Linked DNA regions of Rattus norvegicus. The main gene of each other region encodes a partner of the protein of the gene in region 2 in a complex. Links are inferred from orthologs where the notes say so. Each region holds a gene or a part of one and is shown on either strand. Other genes may lie near its edges.

The links.
Region 1: Rbm10 (region 2) and Kif11 share a complex: the UniProt entries of both Homo sapiens proteins name them as parts of the large chromatin remodeling complex. The link is inferred for Rattus norvegicus from reciprocal best matches to the Homo sapiens genes RBM10 and KIF11.
Region 3: Rbm10 (region 2) and Mysm1 share a complex: the UniProt entries of both Homo sapiens proteins name them as parts of the large chromatin remodeling complex. The link is inferred for Rattus norvegicus from reciprocal best matches to the Homo sapiens genes RBM10 and MYSM1.

The regions. Positions count from the first base shown.
Region 1 is NC_086019.1:244,580,910-244,586,732, reverse strand, and holds part of Kif11 (kinesin-like protein KIF11), read right to left. Parts: intron 4,687-5,823; coding exon 4,464-4,686; intron 2,525-4,463; coding exon 2,376-2,524; intron 1,517-2,375; coding exon 1,400-1,516; intron 1-1,399. UniProt on the Homo sapiens protein: Motor protein required for establishing a bipolar spindle and thus contributing to chromosome congression during mitosis. Required in non-mitotic cells for transport of secretory proteins from the Golgi complex to the cell surface.
Region 2 is NC_086039.1:4,104,586-4,110,408, reverse strand, and holds part of Rbm10 (RNA-binding protein 10), read left to right. Parts: intron 1-1,311; coding exon 1,312-1,495; intron 1,496-3,037; coding exon of another isoform or gene 3,038-3,271; intron 3,272-3,455; exon of another isoform or gene 3,456-3,528; intron 3,529-5,106; coding exon 5,107-5,176; intron 5,177-5,823. UniProt on the Homo sapiens protein: Binds to ssRNA containing the consensus sequence 5'-AGGUAA-3'. May be involved in post-transcriptional processing, most probably in mRNA splicing. Binds to RNA homopolymers, with a preference for poly(G) and poly(U) and little for poly(A).
Region 3 is NC_086023.1:114,917,595-114,923,417, reverse strand, and holds part of Mysm1 (deubiquitinase MYSM1), read left to right. Parts: intron 1-102; exon of another isoform or gene 103-238; intron 239-1,491; coding exon 1,492-2,210; intron 2,211-5,601; coding exon 5,602-5,732; intron 5,733-5,823. UniProt on the Homo sapiens protein: Metalloprotease with deubiquitinase activity that plays important regulator roles in hematopoietic stem cell function, blood cell production and immune response.

The DNA.
Region 1 (5,823 bases), on a different chromosome or scaffold from region 2:
CCCTGAGGCACATAAAGGATCCAAGGAGATCTGTAAAAATGTAGCAGTTTAAACCTGGGATGAAGAGAGAACATTTACACCTCCAGAAAAGGACCCAAGAAAGTCTATTAAAAATAGATACATAATACATACATAAACACACATGTAAGTATGCATGCATATATATATAAGACATGTAAATATATGTGCATAAAATATATATACACACACATATCAGCATCCCAACTGTAAAAGCATACATTATGTATCTTGCATAGAAAATCTTTACTTTAATCTAGGCTCTTATCTTCAAAATATAGGGAACGCTTTTGTTTTGAGATAGGGTTCACTGTGCGGCCCTGGCTGGCCTGGAATCACTCTGAAGACAGACTGGCCTTGAACTTACAGAGAACAAACTGTTTCTGCTTCTACAGGGCTATGATCACAGGTCTGAGATGCCTCCTTTGGCACCAGGCACTTTTGAATGGGCTGTTCCTAACTATGTTAAAAGGGAATGATGTCACATCTGCAATACCTAAGGCAGGAGGATTGCCAAATTCTAGGCTAGCCTGTTCTACTGAGTGTGACTGCTTAAAAGGATAACCAAGGGGGTTGGGGATTTAGCTCAGTGGTAGAGTGCTTGCCTAGCAAACGCAAGGCCCTGGGTTCGGTCCCCAGCTTCAAAAAAAAGAAAAAGGAAAAAAAAAAAAAAAAAAAAAAAGGATAACCAAGGTAGTGGGCATAGAATCTGTCAGATCATTTAAGTGTACAGCATCAGAGCAGCAGGAAGCTTGGGAAACTCAGGGGAGTAATGAATGAGGAGAGCCACAGGGTGGGCAGGGTAAATCACTAATACAATTTATAGTCTCAGTGTGTGACGGACAGAGACGCACACCAGGACCCACTTGGTAAAGTACAAATAAAAGAAATATAAGAGGCAGAAATGAGACAAAAATTACTAAAGATTACTTTCTTTTTTTTTTTTTTTTTTGGTTCTTTTTTTTTCAGAGCTGGGGACCGAACCCAAGGCCTTGTGCTTCCTAGGTAAGCACTCTACCACTGAGCTAAATCCCCAGCCTAAAGATTACTTTCTATACTTATAGATGACATCAAAATTTACCTTTATGTATTCTATAGACGATTCCTTCAATCACAGTATGTACACAATTTAAAGAAAAATTAACAAGTCATTAGAAAAGAATGACTTATTTTATTGTTGTTCTACACCAAGAAATTGTGTTTTCTTACTGCTTTATTTTTGAAAGACAGGTCTTGCTTTGTTAGCCTAAGCTAGCTCCTGCCTCAGCTTCACAAGTGTGGGGATTTCTGGTGTATATCATCATGCCTGGCTACTGGCTAGGTTAGGCACGGTCCCTTTATACTAAATAGTAAAATCTGAGTGGAAAACATTATCAAGTACCTGAAAAAATGGAACACCTCCACTGGAAGAGCAATCCGCACTGGTATGTACACACGGCTCTTGACTTACGAGTTCTTCAGTACTCTGCTCCAGAACCTCCCTGTCCTCCTCCATGTCCTAAAATAAGAAGGCGATGAGTGGCTGGATCATCACACAGGGCAGGACCTGGTGGGGCACGCTTGCCAACCCTAGCTCTCTGGAGGTACAGGCAGAGGCATTACATGAAAGTTAAACTTTGATAATTATTAGAAAAATTACAAACTATAATGAATGTACTGGCTCGTACTTGTTCTCAAATTTCTTAGCTTTTCTATACTATTACCTTTTCTATTGCTATTAACTACAGAGCACAAATTGAAGGCCTGACTGCCTCCCTTCTAACTGCAGGTTCATCTCTGTAATCTGAGACAAAAGAATTCTTAGCTTGATCATTTTAAAGATGTGGCAGCCATCCCACCGGGTTATTGAAAGGGTTAAGTTCACATACATGAAAAAACCTGGAACAATGTCTGGTATGCAATCACAGCTTAAATACTGGCTTTTTCTTATTACTATTTACTAGTCCAATTAATTCAAAATTAATCAGATTAAAAGAAAGTCAGCAACTCTCACAGAAAGCAGCTTGGGACTGAAGAGTAGAAAGTAATATTCATGCCATGCAATTGACCACATCAAGAGTTCACAGGGGTGAACATTTGTTGTTCAAATGTAAGGATCAGATTTTGGATCCCTAGCACCTACCTAAATATCTTGTGGCAGCCCACCCGTAACCCAGCACTTGGGAGAGCTGGTAACTGGCAGCTCTGGATTCAAGTGAGAGACTCTACTTCAGTGTACACAGTGAAGAGCAATTAAAAAGGCACCCACTCACACGCACACATACTAAATGCACACTCCCATGCACACATGTGCCCCCATACATGCAATAATAAGTAACAGTGTGTGGAAAAGCGCTAAACTTACGTATTACATTTACCTGACTGGTCTCTTTGCTGCTTTCTGAGCAATTTAGCATCATCAGTGGCTTGGGCTGTTTCTTTTGCAGCTGATCAAGGAGTTGCTCCCGTGGTTCAGTTCTCACAAGTGTTGATGGATATAAATAATTTTTCCTCTCTGGTGTCATACCTTTATAGCAGACATTAGAAAAGAAGGGAGAAATTAAGTATGAAATAGGTTTTAATATTATGTTAAAATGAATACTTTCAAGTAATTTGTCTTCCAAAACCAAACAGTGATTTTCATATAGCTTTTTTACCTGCCAAGCACATACCGGTTGAAGCTAGGAATATTTTGTTATGTAGTAATGGATCTTTAATAGGTCTTAAAATTCTCAAAAGTTATCCTACCTCCAAAATGTGAAGTTTTCTTTTCTAAGAAAGTATACAAAAGATGTATTAGGCTTATGAAAGACTTTGGGTATTCTGAGAAATGGAATTAAAAGTTGTACCAGCTTTGAAAGGAGTTGTCATGTCATTATAAATTTGGTGCAGTGCCTGGCTCTCATGCAGTTCTTTTTTTTTAACTTTTCACATAGCATTTCATTTTCATTGATAGCTAATGATAAATCTGAAAGACTGAAGAAACTAAATAAATCAATATTCTTTAGTACAAACTCTTTACAATTACTTCTTTAAAAGGAAGCTTTGAGATGTAATTTATATGCCACAAAAATCATTCAAACAGTGTATGATTCAATGACTTTATAATGATTTTACAAGGCAATGAGGGATCAGTTATTAATATGTGTAACAGCTTAGCGATCATGGTAATTTATCCATCTTTGCCATTTCTGATCTCTAAAACTGGTGATTTTTAAATGATGCCAGTCATTTAAATAAGAGGGGGCGTGGAAAAAACTGTACAATGCAGTGAACTTTACTTTGCATTAAACAAGAATTAGCTTTTATGGGCTAGAGAGATGGCTCAGCAGTTAAGAGCACTGGCTGCTCTTCCAGAGGTCCTAAGTTGAATTCCCAGCCACCATATGGTAGCTCACAACCATCTATAATGGGATCTGATGTCCTCCTCTGGTGTGTTGAAGACAGCTACAGTGTACTCATCATTCATATATATATTCATATATATATATTCATATATATTGTAATACACACACAAAATAAATAAAATCTTAAGAAAAAAAGAATTAGCTTTAATACTCATCTAGTACTTTTGGTATTAAAACATCCTTTTAAACACACTGCTGACTAGTCAGTCAACTTTGTTTTTAACGCTTTTTAGTTTCAGTTTGGCTCTTTGAGACAGGAGCTCTTATAGCCCAGGAGAGCATCAAGTTTACTCTGCAGCTAAAGATGACCTTGAGCTCCTGATCACCCTACCTACTCCTCTGAGTATTGGTACAAAGTGTTGCCACCACACCCCACACCCAAGATTTTATTTTTTCTCTTTCATCAGAGTCTTGCTTTGTAGCCCAGGATAGTCTACAAGTGACAATTTTCTTTTCTCAGCCTCCTGAGGGAAATGTATTAGAAAACGTCATAAACATTCAAATGTCTAACTTGTTTATATGCGTGCTTTTAAGCTATACCAGGCTTTAAAAATGTCTATTCTTAACAAAGCCAGTTGTCTGTTTATGAACTATTATTCTATTGTGCCCAAATTTCTAAAAAATATACCAGGAGGACAGCTAAGACTGGATTAGAATTATTTTGGTATTCTAAATTTTCCTATTTAAATGTTATTACAGAGAGATGGTAAATTTCTGCGGGCAAAGGCAGGCTCAGTTTCAAAGAGTATTTAACACTGTATACAGTTAAATTCAATTTCAAAACTTCAACAAATTTGTTTGCAGGCATACATGCATATAAATAAATCTTAACGTAAAGTGAAAAAAATTAATGGGAAAAAAACCCATTGGGGATTGGAGAGGAGGATACATTACTCTTCCAGAGGACCACAGTTCAGTTCCCAGCATTCACACTCATTCCTACCTCAACTTCCAGCTCCAGAGGGATCCCTTCACCTGGCCTCGAAAGGTACTGCATGTAAGTGCACATATCTACCCACGCATGAGTAAAATAAACTTTAAAAAGTAAAAATAGCATACCTGTTGGGATATCTAGTTTCAGATCCTGTTGCAGAAAGCAATTAAGCTTTGTTAAACCAGTTTTTATAGTTTTATCAAGCTCTAGGCTTCCAGCTTTAAATTTTTCTTCATCAGAAGTTATCTGAACAACAAAGGAGCTGTGCTGGCTCTCAATAGCTGCTCTGTGTCCTCTTATTTTTTCAGTGATCTCTGAACTTGAAGCTTCACAACATCCATTTACAAACTGTAAAGGACAAAACAAGCTTTCATTACAAAATTTGTAAGCACTTTTAGCACACATACCATGTTTTACTACCTCAAAACTTCCCAGAATACAAGTTTTAAAAACTTAGCAAGTTTTAAAAACAAAGCAACTAGCTCCTATATTCACTGCACAGTATAGGTGCGGGACCTGAAGCACTCTGACCTGCTAAGCCATCTCTGGCTACCCATCCTTAACATCACTCCAATAACAGATGTAAGGAAAGGCTAACTTAAAAATCAGACAGACAGCCTGGCAGTGGTGGCACACACCTTTAACCCCAGCACTTAGGAAGCAAAAGCAGACTGATCTCATTGAGTTCAAGGACAACCTGACCTATGGCTGACCTAGTTCCAGGACAGCCATATATGCACACACACACATACACAAACTCTCTGTTTCTGAAAGATAGATGGGCAGGCAGACAGACAGACTCCAGACTGAAGACTGTCTTTATTAAAAGTATTTTTTTTGCTCTGTAACTTATTCTTTGATTTTCGTTTGTTTGTTTGTTTGTTTAACGTGAAAACCTTTGCTTTTTTAAGAAACCAGGTTTTAAGATGTGCAAGAGGGCATACACGTTTAATCACAGCACAGGGAAGAAGAGGCAGGGGGATGATTTTAAAGCTACCATAGGAAAGGTAATGGGTCCAAAGCCAGGAGAAGAGGGGAGGGGAAAGGGAAAGAGGGGAGAGGAGCTGGGGAGAGACTATGGACACAAGAAACTAAGCCTTTTCCCACGTCTCAAGTTCTGGATTTGGTCAAATATATCTTTATGCCAAGCTTTTGTTTGTTTATATTATTTATGAGACAGAGTCTTAAGACTATATGGCACTAACTGGACTCATCAAACTCTGAATCTCCCTGGCCTCTGCCTCCCAAGTGTGTGTGCCCCTCTGTCCAGCTTCTATGCCTCAGTTTGATTTCTGAAACCTATATAAAAGTGCAAGTTTTACAATGGCATACAAGTCCACACATTATGCACACAAACACAATAATAATGATAATGATGATAATCATAATAATAATAGGCTAAAGAGATGGATTAGTAGGTTAAGAGCACTTGCTGTTTATCCAGGACTCTAGGTTTCCAGCACCTGTGTCAGGGGGCTCATAACT
Region 2 (5,823 bases):
CAGTACCTTTTATGTGGAGGGCATATGCATCACCACTTTATTACATCCACAACCCCAATTTTCTTTAGATGTGTGGTGGGCGAGTCTCACTATGCTGCCTTGGGGTCAAACCTCTTGTCTCAGTACCTTGAGCAACTAAGACTACAGACCTAGTAATTTTTCTCAGTCTGAGATGGAAACCAGCAATTTTCATATATTAGCCAAGTACTCTACTACTGACCTATATCCATAAAATTACTATCAGACTGTAAAGATGGCTCAGCAGTTAAGAGCACTGACTGCTCTTCCAGAGGTCGTGAGTTCAATTCCCAGCAACCACATGGTGGCTCACAACCATCTGTAATGGGATCCAATGCCCTCTTCTGGTGTGTCTGAAGACAGCTACTTATATACATAAAATAAATAAATCTTTAAAGATATTACTATCTTTTAACTCATCAAAGATTTACAATTAAGTCATCTTTGATGTAATTATTTTATAGTTAACTATAGTTAGAGAATTTTTATTTTTAAGTATGCGTATGTGCTTCTGTGTGGTGTGTGTGTGTATGAATACAGAAGTTGGAAGAAGACACTGGAGTTGGATTATAGGCAGTTATGAGCTGCCCAATCTGCGCACCAAATACTCACATCCTTCACAAGAGCTCCACAGTTGGAGTACTTCTAACTGAAGAGCTGTTAGTTCTAGCAAGATGGCTATGAAGTGGATAGTGACGTGCAAAGGGCAGACAGATAGAGTTTTGCAGAGACCTTACCCTGTAGGCTTGGTGGGATCTTGATGAATATTTGGGTGTTTATGTGTTTATTTAGGCAAAATTACTAAAGCAAATGATATGATTGGGTTGATTAACTTTATCATAGATAGTATTCATGTTTGGGTTTTTGGATTGCAGACACATAGCCTATGTAGGGGTGAAGAATTCAGTCAGGAAACTACACCTGATGTACATGTGGACTAGAGGTTAGGAAGGATGGCAGTAAGTGACTTGGCTTTAAAAACCTGTGATAGGGGCTGGAGAGATGGCTCAGCGGTTAAGAGCACCGACTGTTCTTCCCGAGGTCCTGAGTTCAAAATCCCAGCAACCACATGGTGGCTCACAACCATCTGTAATGAAATCTGATGCCCTCTTCTGGTGTGTCTGAAGACAGCTACAATGTACTCATATATAATAAATAAATAAAAAAAAAAAAACCTGTGATAGTTAGCCCATGCAATGAAGTGAGACTGAGGCCGTAGAGAGAGGGTTGTGGGTTGACTTCCATATCTTGAGCTTTTTGGAAAAGATGGTTTTCTAATTCCTATCCTTCTAGAGGTGGTCGTGGTGACAGAACTGGCCGGTATGGAGCTACTGACCGCTCACAGGACGATGGTGGAGAGAACCGCAGCCGAGACCATGATTATAGAGACATGGACTATCGTTCATACCCACGAGAGTATGGCAGTCAGGAAGGCAAGCATGAGTATGACGACTCATCTGAAGAGCAAAGTGCAGAGGTGAGGGCAAGGCCAGGCCTTGGGGGGCAATGCTCCTGAAAGGCCTGTGTGTCTGGCTGCAGCACCAGGTGTAGGTAGCGCTCTGCTCCTGTGCCTTTGGACTACTCAGTTGCTTTGCGTCACCTAGGGGAGGGTCTGTCCCTGATCCCTTCTCTGAGGGCTCTTCTCCTGAGTTGGGTCTCCCTGGCTTTCACACTGCTTGACTCTGTATTTCTCAGGGCTCCTAGCCACTACTTCTTTCCCTTCTTCCCTGTTGTTCAGTTTTGGCCTTGGATTCACTGCAACCTCTATACTGCACCAATTTAGGGAACTCAAAAGGATCTTTTCCATGGGACCTAGTATCTAGGATTGAGAGGACAACCTGAGAACAAAATTATCAACCAATCCATACAACTCTGGGAAGCTAACACTGTTTCTGGTCTTGACAAAACCTCTAGACAGAAAGGAAGGAAAAGATCTTTGGGGAAGTCAGTCCCATGTAGGTAGTTAACCTCTAACCTAAAGGATAAGGCATGATGCTCACTATGAGAGAACCCACATCTGAGGGTTAGAAGCACCCTTGTCTTAGGGAATTTCAGTCTGAGGACCAGTCAGAGACCTAGTGCAAGCACGTAGGCAAGTAGCTCTCTGTCTAGTAGGATAGAAAAGGGTATACTTTTGTAAGCCCAGCCCTGAGGAGAAATTGTATTTAAACTATCTTCTACCTTCTGGGTATTTGAGGGACTATTTGAAGATTCCCCTGGTAAACTACTAGCTTTGTTTGGTTAGCCAGGGCTTACAGGCATCCAGGCTTCTCCATTGCCTGCAATTGAGCAGTATCTTTTAATGTCTCCATGGGTACAGTGGACCTTGTGAATGGACCATTGACAAGTGTAGAACACAACATCCAGTTGTCTGGACCTGTCCCCTACAGGTGGGAGGGTGTAGGGTCATGCCTGACCTGTTTAGTATTGAAATTAGTAGGTTGAATAACAACTAACAACTCAGCAACCACACTCTGTGTGAAGGAAGCTCATAGTAAACAAAGACTTTTCTAGGCCTGAGGACCAAGGACAAAGGGGGAGCATAATGGCCCATGAACTCCTGCTGGCTGCCTCAGGCCCATATCTGAAACTATTTCTGAAACGCTGGCTTGGTTCCAGGGCCCAACCTTAAGCTGGGAACTCTAGGAGACAGGTGTTTTTCAGTGGCACAGTAAACAATTGTACACACACCAGCTGAGCTGCCTAAAGAAGACAGTGAAGGCAAAGTCTAGTTTGCTGACCCCAGGCTAGTTTATCCCAAGGAGGTTTAAGCAGTGTTTTTTGTCAGCCTGCCTTTGGGAGTTCCTCCTCCACACCAGTACTGCCATTCCTTGAAGGCAGCTCCTAAAAGTATCCTGTGGAACATTTGCAGCCTTAAAAAGCCTGAGCCTTTAACCGGAGCCCGCCTGCCCACCCCTGGCTTTCAGAGCCCGCCTGTCTCAGAGAGCCAGCGGCCAACCACTAGGCCCACCCAGACTGACTGCCCGTCTGGTGTCTCTCATCTCATTCTGTCGGCCAGGATTCCTACGAGGCCTCCCCGGGCTCCGAGACTCAGCGTAGGCGGCGGCGGCGGCACAGGCACAGTCCCACTGGCCCGCCAGGCTTCCCCAGAGACGGCGACTATCGGGACCAGGACTATCGGACCGAGCAAGGGGAGGAGGAGGAGGAGGAGGATGAGGAGGAGGAGGAGGAGGAGAAGGCCAGTAACATCGTCATGCTGAGGATGCTGCCACAGGCAGCCACTGAGGATGACGTACGTGCCCCCCCAATGGCCCTGGGCAGGTGGCAAAGCAGGAGTCCAGGCTGGGTCTCCTCCAGGGCCCTCAGCTTCTCTCCACCCATCCTTTGCCACCAACCACAGCACCTTTCCTCTCTTCTCCCCCACCAGCTCCTGTCCCCCAGCACTATCCATCCTCCAGGATGGTCCCATCAGTTCCTGGTCTGGAAGGGAAGAAGGCAGCAGACAGGCTGGCTTGGCCCAGGGGCAGTAGCCGTGGGTGTCCGGTGCTGGTGGGTGTGAGAGAAGAACATCTCTCCTGCACATTCCATTGGCTTTCACCCTTTTTGTATATGTGAATGGAGGCCAGGCCCAGTGTCTGGTATTCTTCATGGCAGAAACCCATGAGAGTGAGATCTTAGGGCCCATGGGCTTTTCTGAACTTCCATATTCCTCCCCTTTTGTCAGCAGTGACAGCCTGGCCACAGCTGCCCATAAGGTGGCTCTTTGATAGCTTCTCAAGCTGTTTGCCTTTGTGACATTCTCTGCCTTCCATCTTCCTCTCTTCACTCGTTTCCTTCTCACGCAGATGTCTTATGGCAAGCTACATTCAAAATGCAAGAGTATTACTCAAGTTAAATTTTGACTATCCTCCCTGATCTTTGGTACCTCTCTCTACCCTCACCCCTAGTCAGTTCTCTACACAGTGCTTCCTTGGAAGCCTGGCAGCTGCCCATTTTCTAACAGTAGTAATCCCACCTAAGAAATGTGAGGGCTTTCAGGATTGGACTGATCGTTGACATTACCCGTGGTTTTATGGCAGGGTAGGCCACATGCCAAGCTGATTGAATCCTCAAAGAGGCTCTTTCTGGAAGGTATACATTGTAGTCAGTCCCACATAGCCCCAATCAGCAAAGTGACTTGCTTCATGTTCCAGCAAGTGGCAGAGTAGAGTTGGGGTCTAAACCTGGACTGCTGGACTCCAGAGTCCAAGTTGATATTTTACAAGTCCTCCCTGATTATTTGCAATCTTGATAAGATTTGTGTATCTTGACTTTTCATCTTCCTACGTACTTATGTGCATAAGACTTAATTTCTTGTTTTTTTTTTTTAACCCGGGTAGAGAGCAGATACCCAGAAGCACAGAGAGAGACTTTTACTGAAAAGTGTCTGGCATAAACTCCCCATTCACCAAAAGAGGTACTGCCAGCCTAGAGACTGCCTCACCTGGGCTCTTAAGTTGCCTCTCTAGTGTTCCTCAGGTTCATTAACTCAGGAAGCTGTCCAGATCAACCATTGTGCTATTTGTCTTTAAATTTCTCCTGACATGGCTGGAATGGCTCCGGCTCCTGTCCTTCCCTGTTTACTGTTTGTGCCATAGGTAGTAGCTTTTAGTACAAGTCACGGGGAGGGAGCAGTTCCTCTGTGATGGGCAAGAATTGTATTCTAGCTTCTATGCTTCATGGCTGCTACTAAGCCTCTTGTCAGATCACCCTGCCCACCATTCCTGATTTGCTGCCTCACTTGCTCTCCTGTTGCCTTTGTGCCCTGGGGGTCATCTTGCTGCCATCTTTTATTCTGTACTATGTTTTCTGTCTTTGTTTGACTCACTTTCTGCAAGTCTAGAACTGGAAGCGAGACTGAATACTAGTGTAGGCTGCAGTTGTTGTTACTGGGAAAGCTTTGAAAGAGGTAGAGGAAGTAGGTGTGTGGGTGTGGATGTGTGTGGGTGTGTGTACATGTGCGTGCATGCTCAAATGTGGGTGTGTGTTTCTTTCATGACCCCTTGGGGCTCAGAGGCCTTGAGTTGGCCTCACATACTCAGCCACTTTCTTTGCTGAACCTATCCCGCTTCTGTATTTTCTGAACAGATCCGTGGCCAGCTGCAGTCCCATGGTGTCCAAGCACGAGAGGTCCGGCTGATGCGGAACAAATCCTCAGGTGAGCTTTCGTTCCCAGTGCCCTCCCCTTCTGATGGCCAGCCTGAGCCTCCAAATCTCCCTCTGCCTCTGCCTCTGCCTCTGCCTCTGCCTCTCCCTCTCTCTTCCCTTCCCTTCCCTATTTCCCTCCTGCTACAGCTGGGAATGGGCAGCTTGCGGGGGTGGGGGTACCCTCTCATCTCTCTCATCCCCTACTCTCACAGCTCCAGCCAGCAGCCTCTACAGGGTTGCTGTCCTGAAGGGGATGCAGCTCTGGGCTGAGCTGACTACTCCCCAGGAGCAAGGTCAGAGCCAGGCTCTGGAAAACCTCTTCTTTGGGACTTTAAGTTTCTGAGGTGGTAACCCTTCCCAGGACATTCATTTCCTCCTCCTTCCTCTGCCCCTTGGTCTCCTCCCCTCTGACAACAACCTCTAACCAAAAGTAGGTCTGACATGAACCCACCCATATGTCCCAAGAAAGGGAGGGCAGGGATGGCTCTCATCGAAAGTGTATCCTAAGGAGCAGCCAGAACTTTCTGGCCTCACCTGTTCCCTCCCTCCCTCTTGCAGGCTGCTTGGAGCTGGCCTGGGGTTTTAGCAGGGTGGGGGGTGTTGTCTCTGCAGGACTACTGCCCAGGCTCCCCAAGGCTGACACAGTGGGGCCTCACT
Region 3 (5,823 bases), on a different chromosome or scaffold from region 2:
CGTAGAAATTTTAGAATTTAGGAGATATAAATGCTACCTAATGTAGTTATGAAATCTGTTTATGGTAAAAGGGTTTTTACTATTGCTATAAAGAACAGTTTGTTGCAGCTAACTAAGCCGGCCAAGTCCCTTTCCCCATGGGGACTGTGGTGTGCAGTGGTTGCAAACAGCAGCCTCCTTGGTAGTGTATGCAGCCCATTATCTATATGGGTTGCCTCAAGGGACCTTGGAAACATTAAAAAAAAAACAGAGAACTGTCTGAAAAACTTAATAACCTTGTTCAGAAAGATGTATTTATGGTCAAGTTCCTTAACTTTTCAAATAATTTAACTATGTACATTTTTTGATTTAGGGTATATGAGTGTTTTACTACATGTATCTATATTTACCCATGTATGCAGTACCCTCAGAGGCCTAAGAGATTGGGCACTGGATCCTCTAATTGGAGTTACAGGCGGCTGTGAGCCGATATGTAGGTTCTAGAAACTGATCCTGTCCTGTCCTCTGGAAAAGCAGCCAGAACTCTATAATTGTTGAGCCAGCTGTCTAGACCAGTTATGTAGTGTTGCTATTTAGAATTTCTATTGTATGCATTTAAGATCTAGAAGCATAATTATATAAAATTTGGAAGTGTCTTAAATGAGATCTTTTTTCTAATGTAAATAATGTGTTCTACTAGTTGTATTTTATTCAATATAGCAAAAAATTGGAATTAGCCTAGTCCTTCAGTCCTTCATCACTAGATGACTGGATAATTTTATGCATGTATGTATCTATACATATATGTATGTATATATATATATCAACTTTAAAGAAAAATGAAGTTACAAAATTCATAGGAAAATGGATAGACTTAAAATATATATTTTTATAATATTAAGCAAGGCCACATTATCTCAGAAAGAGGGTGTTCTCTCTCATATAGGCATTCTAGACAATTATGTATATATATAAGCAAATGTACGTGTGGGTATAATATAACATATAGAAAGGAGCACAAGAAAGGCTAGATAGATATAAGGGGAATGAAGACAGAATGAGTGCAGGTGATGTATATGAAAAATGAAAGAGGATATAAAATTAACTGCTTTTCTAGTCAAACAAAACTAAAACACCAAAACTCTGTCAAGGATTCTTCATTTTTGGTGGTAGATACTTGCATAAAAGTATGTTCAAGAGTGAAAGTATGGAATCCAGTGTGGAGCTCCACAGGTTCAGAATGGCTGTTCTAGCTGTAGAAATTCACTGAGATGTATAGACTTTGGGTCTGGTTAATTGGGTCTAACTTACAGACTTTGGTGTATGATGTTATTTACTTGTCCGTTTTTTAAATTAAGTTTATAAGATTTTTTTTTTTAAGCAAGTGAAGGTATGATATCTGTTAACATGTGCTTAGTTTAAAAACATTTTATCTAATTTTTTTGTATAAAGTGATTAAACCTCAAATCTAGTTTAATAATATGTGTGTGTGTTATTTTGGTTCTTAATAAGGTAAAGTGGGGTGCGGAGAAAGAAACACCAACTTTGAAGAGCAACAGTGATCTTCAGGTTAAAAATAAAGATGAAAGGACAAAGGTGTGGGTCGCATCAGATCCCAACCTTAATGCTGTAAAAATAGAGAAGTTGTCTGATGATGAAGATGTAGACATCACCGATGAGCTGGATGAGTTGACTTCTCAAACATCACAAAAGAATTATGGCGGCCATCTTACTTTAGATGTTCCTAGTAGTAAAATGTATAAGACCAACCAAGGAGAATTATGCCAAGAAGGTTCATTAGCTAAATCTGCAGAAGAAAATCTTCAGAATGTGAAGCAAAGTGAAGCAGAAGCATGTTCAAGCTCAGAAATTATGTCATGGGCTGAAAAACAAAATAATAATGGCAAAAACTCAGTTGAATTAAATGAGAAATACAGTAAACTGGTTGAGGAATACACTATGCTAACAGAGGAAACCAAGCACTCACCTTCTCCAGAGCCCTGTGAGGGTCAGAAGGACCCACGTGGAAATGAACTGCTTTTGCCTCCTTGCCAAGTGGAGGAGGAAAACCATGAAGGAGAAGAGCTTAAGCCACCGGAACAAGAAGTAGAAATAGATAGAAATGTCATTCAAGAAGAAGAAAAGCAAGCAATTCCTGAGTTTTTTGAGGGGCGTCAAACTAAAACACCAGAACGCTATTTGAAAATTAGAAACTACATTTTGGATCAGTGGTAAGAATTACATTGTACATGTTCTAAAAACTTGGTACTCTAAAGCATATAGATTAGGACCATGCAGAATTGTGGATTTGCTAGAGACTCAAAGAGCTTCTGCATGTCTTCCTTCAGTAGTCATGATTTAAAGTTTCTCATAGTGAACCTCTTAAAAACTTTGATAAGCATGGGCATCCATTGCTATCACAACATGTCATCCCACTGTAGAAGAGAAGCCTGGCTAGAAGGGAGTGGCCATATTTTTTAGGGGGCAGCAGTTTCTTGGGGCAGTGTTGGGAAGCTATAACTATAGAACATATTGGCCTGGGAAAGGAGAGAATTTCCAGTTTCACATGTATTTGAGAATAAAAAAGGACAAACTCAGAGACAGGAAATATTGTTAAACATGATTATAGTACAGAAATTGTCATCTGAATAGCTCTTCAGTGCTTGCAACTTTGAATGTGGAATGAACACAATTACTTAGGAAACCAAAAGACTACCCTCCTTATTAGCCTAGATACACTGAGAGTAACTAAGGCTCCTTCAAGCATCCATAGATGCTCTTAGTGTTTTAGAAAGCTTTCCAGATCTTTGGATGTGGATTCTGTGTTGTCCTTTGTTTTCTCCTCTATCAAAGGTTTCTCTGTCCTGTTTCAGTGGCTTTCTGCTAGAACCTAAAATGCTACCTAAGATTAACATGTACATTGTTAAATAATTCATTGCACTTAGATAACATTAATTTACTTGGCTTTTAAAGACAGCCATGTTCTCACAAAATGTTTGCTCTGGCTTTGTGTCATGGTGATTTTGCACCAACACGACCACTGAAGAACCATCTTCTGGCTAAGAATGTCATTAGAGTAAGAAATACTTAAGAGAAACAACTGCCATTTGCCTAGAGCTTTGTGGTTTACAGAAGGCTGCCCTGAATCATCTCATTTGAGTCTTCACAACAGGCCTGTGAAATAGGCAATGGGATCTCAGATCTTAGGGTACCTGCCTTTGATCTTTCAACCAGACACTGACCCAAGAAAGGTGTCAGTCCAACTCACTCATTCTATTACTCTACATTACCTAGTTGACAGCTTTTAAATGTGGATTAAATTAGATCTCTCTTCATACCTGGGTTTGGTTTTGGAAATAAAATGATGGATAGCCAAAATCAAAGACTTTCAAAACAATTTCTACCTCAGAAATGTCACAACTTGTGTATATTTAATGTTATTTTAGACAAAGTTTGTCACACTGAATTTTGGATTTTAAATTAGCAGGATAAATTACAGAGATGGTGTCGATTATATGGCAGTAGTTTCCTAAGTCCTTTTATTTAATACACAAAGCCTATTTGATATTGCTGTTTAAGTATGAGATATTTATTGGAAAAGTATAAAAGCAAAAGAAATGTTTTTAAAGAAAAAGTATAAAGTATAGAACAATATAGATGGTACTTTTTTTTAAAAAGAGAAGATAAAGTTTTAAAAACAAAGAGACATACAGATCTTTCTTTTCCATGAGAACAGGTACAATTGGTTTTACTTAGGGGTATGTTTTTATTAAAGTGTTAGTCAACTGTTAATAACATTATTTTACCTTATTCTACCACATACCATGTGTTTGTTATATTTAAACCGTCTTCAGTTCTCTTGTGAAGGTGACTTCAGCTTCCGGGTTGATTCAGTATTTAAAGAGCTGTAACTCTGGCCTTAACCTTCTCTTCCTTCAGAGCTTCTGGTACTGGCTCTTTGACTCTTTGGTTCTGCTCAAGGAAAGTGATGTGTGTGGTGATGCTCTTCCCTATTCTGGCATCCTTTGTTTGTTTTTGTCATACAACTTAATACCACTGAAAATGCTGCCATTTTGTGAATCGTCTCCTACCGTAGTCCTGTAAGAATACAGGCAATGTGAAGGCAGTTCTGTTTGTTCTGTTAATCAAGTACCCCCTGCTTAAGACAGTGCTTAGATGACAGAAGGCATTTTAGTTGTTGGAGAAGATTTAGAGTCTTTGGTGAACAGAAATATTTACTATCTAAGCCACGCGTAAGCCTGTTGATTAGAGAAGACAGATGCAGATGAAACCACTTTCCAGGCTCCTGCCATTCTTTAGTAGCTGTGCGCTTTCCTATATTTTTGTCATGCTTGCATAGTTCGCTTTCCTTTCATCAAACATGGAAGTCTCAGCTTTTCTGAGGAAGTTACAATATTCTCCTCTATCACACTTATTTTCACCTTCTGTAGACCTTGTAGATTTATGGATTTGATTTTGCAGGTTTAGCAAGGCCTTCCCTAAGCACCCTATCTAAAGTAGTCTATGCCTGTTTGATGGACTGTCTCCATTAGGCTTCTCTTTCTGTTTAGAGCTATTGTTTGATAACAAAGTATATATTATTCCTTTTTATGTATTGATAGTCTCCATTGGAATTTAAGGTCTCTGAAAACAGGAACTTTGCATTGCTCACCTCCCAGACTCTTGTTCCTACAACTGTGTCTGGGACATAGAGCACAGATACTTAGAGAATAAAATGTGAGCAAGTCACATCTGTGCTGTCAGTTAAGGCCTGGGTGGGTATCTGCATCTGTATCGCACCACTTCTTTATGTTAAGTAGGTGCTGTAGTGATTCTGGCCAGCTCCTGTACTCCCTTCTAAGATGAATTGGTAGTCAGTCTTACAGAATTGTGAAGGTTGAGCCTGGGTGTCTAACACTGCAGCATTTAGCTGATCAGTAATTGATTTCTACTACTGTAAAGTTCTCCGTTCCTGTTCAAAGCATGTTAAGTAAATAAGATTATTGTATGAATCTTTCAATTTCACTGAGTTTCTTGATTTCCTTTGGAATCCCCTAGAATATGTCTGTTTTCCTTTTTTAGAGTAAGTTCTTACAATTAAAAATAAATATACAATACTTAAATATTTTTTGAGAGAGCTAATAATTAACAGCATTGGCAAAGCTGGGAAAACCTTGGGGCTGAGAGTATAACTCAGTACTAGACTAGCTGCCTAGCAGCATGAGGCAGTACTATACAAAAGGAATAGTAAGGGGATGTCCCAGTACTAAGGCTTCTTAATTCCCAAAGTGCTCTTTTATTCACAGATGGAAATGTCAATTTGGTTCTTACAGAATAAGCTTCTAATTTCAAGTTTTGGGGATACCTGGGATCTGTGGGGCTTAGTATTGGGGAAAGAATACTTACTTGTAACACAATCATTTTTACAAATACTTTTAAGTTGTCAAATCCTTTAAAGATATTTTACATGTGAAAAAAAGAACACTTGGGTATTGGTTACACAATTAGGCCTTGAGTGAAGGTAAAATTTTAAGATTTTTCATATATTAAAAGTTTTCCCAAATATCCTTTTTAAAATGTTTCTATTCATCCAGAATAATTGTACTTCCATCTCTTAATTAGGGAAATATGCAAACCGAAATACTTAAATAAGACCTCAGTACGTCCTGGCCTGAAGAACTGTGGGGATGTTAATTGTATTGGACGGATTCATACATACCTCGAGTTGATAGGAGCAATCAATTTTGGATGTGGTAAAAATAAAAACCCAACAACATCTTTTACTTGGCATTTTTATCCTTATATATAGCACCCATTAATTTTTATGATGGTTCAAATAAGTGT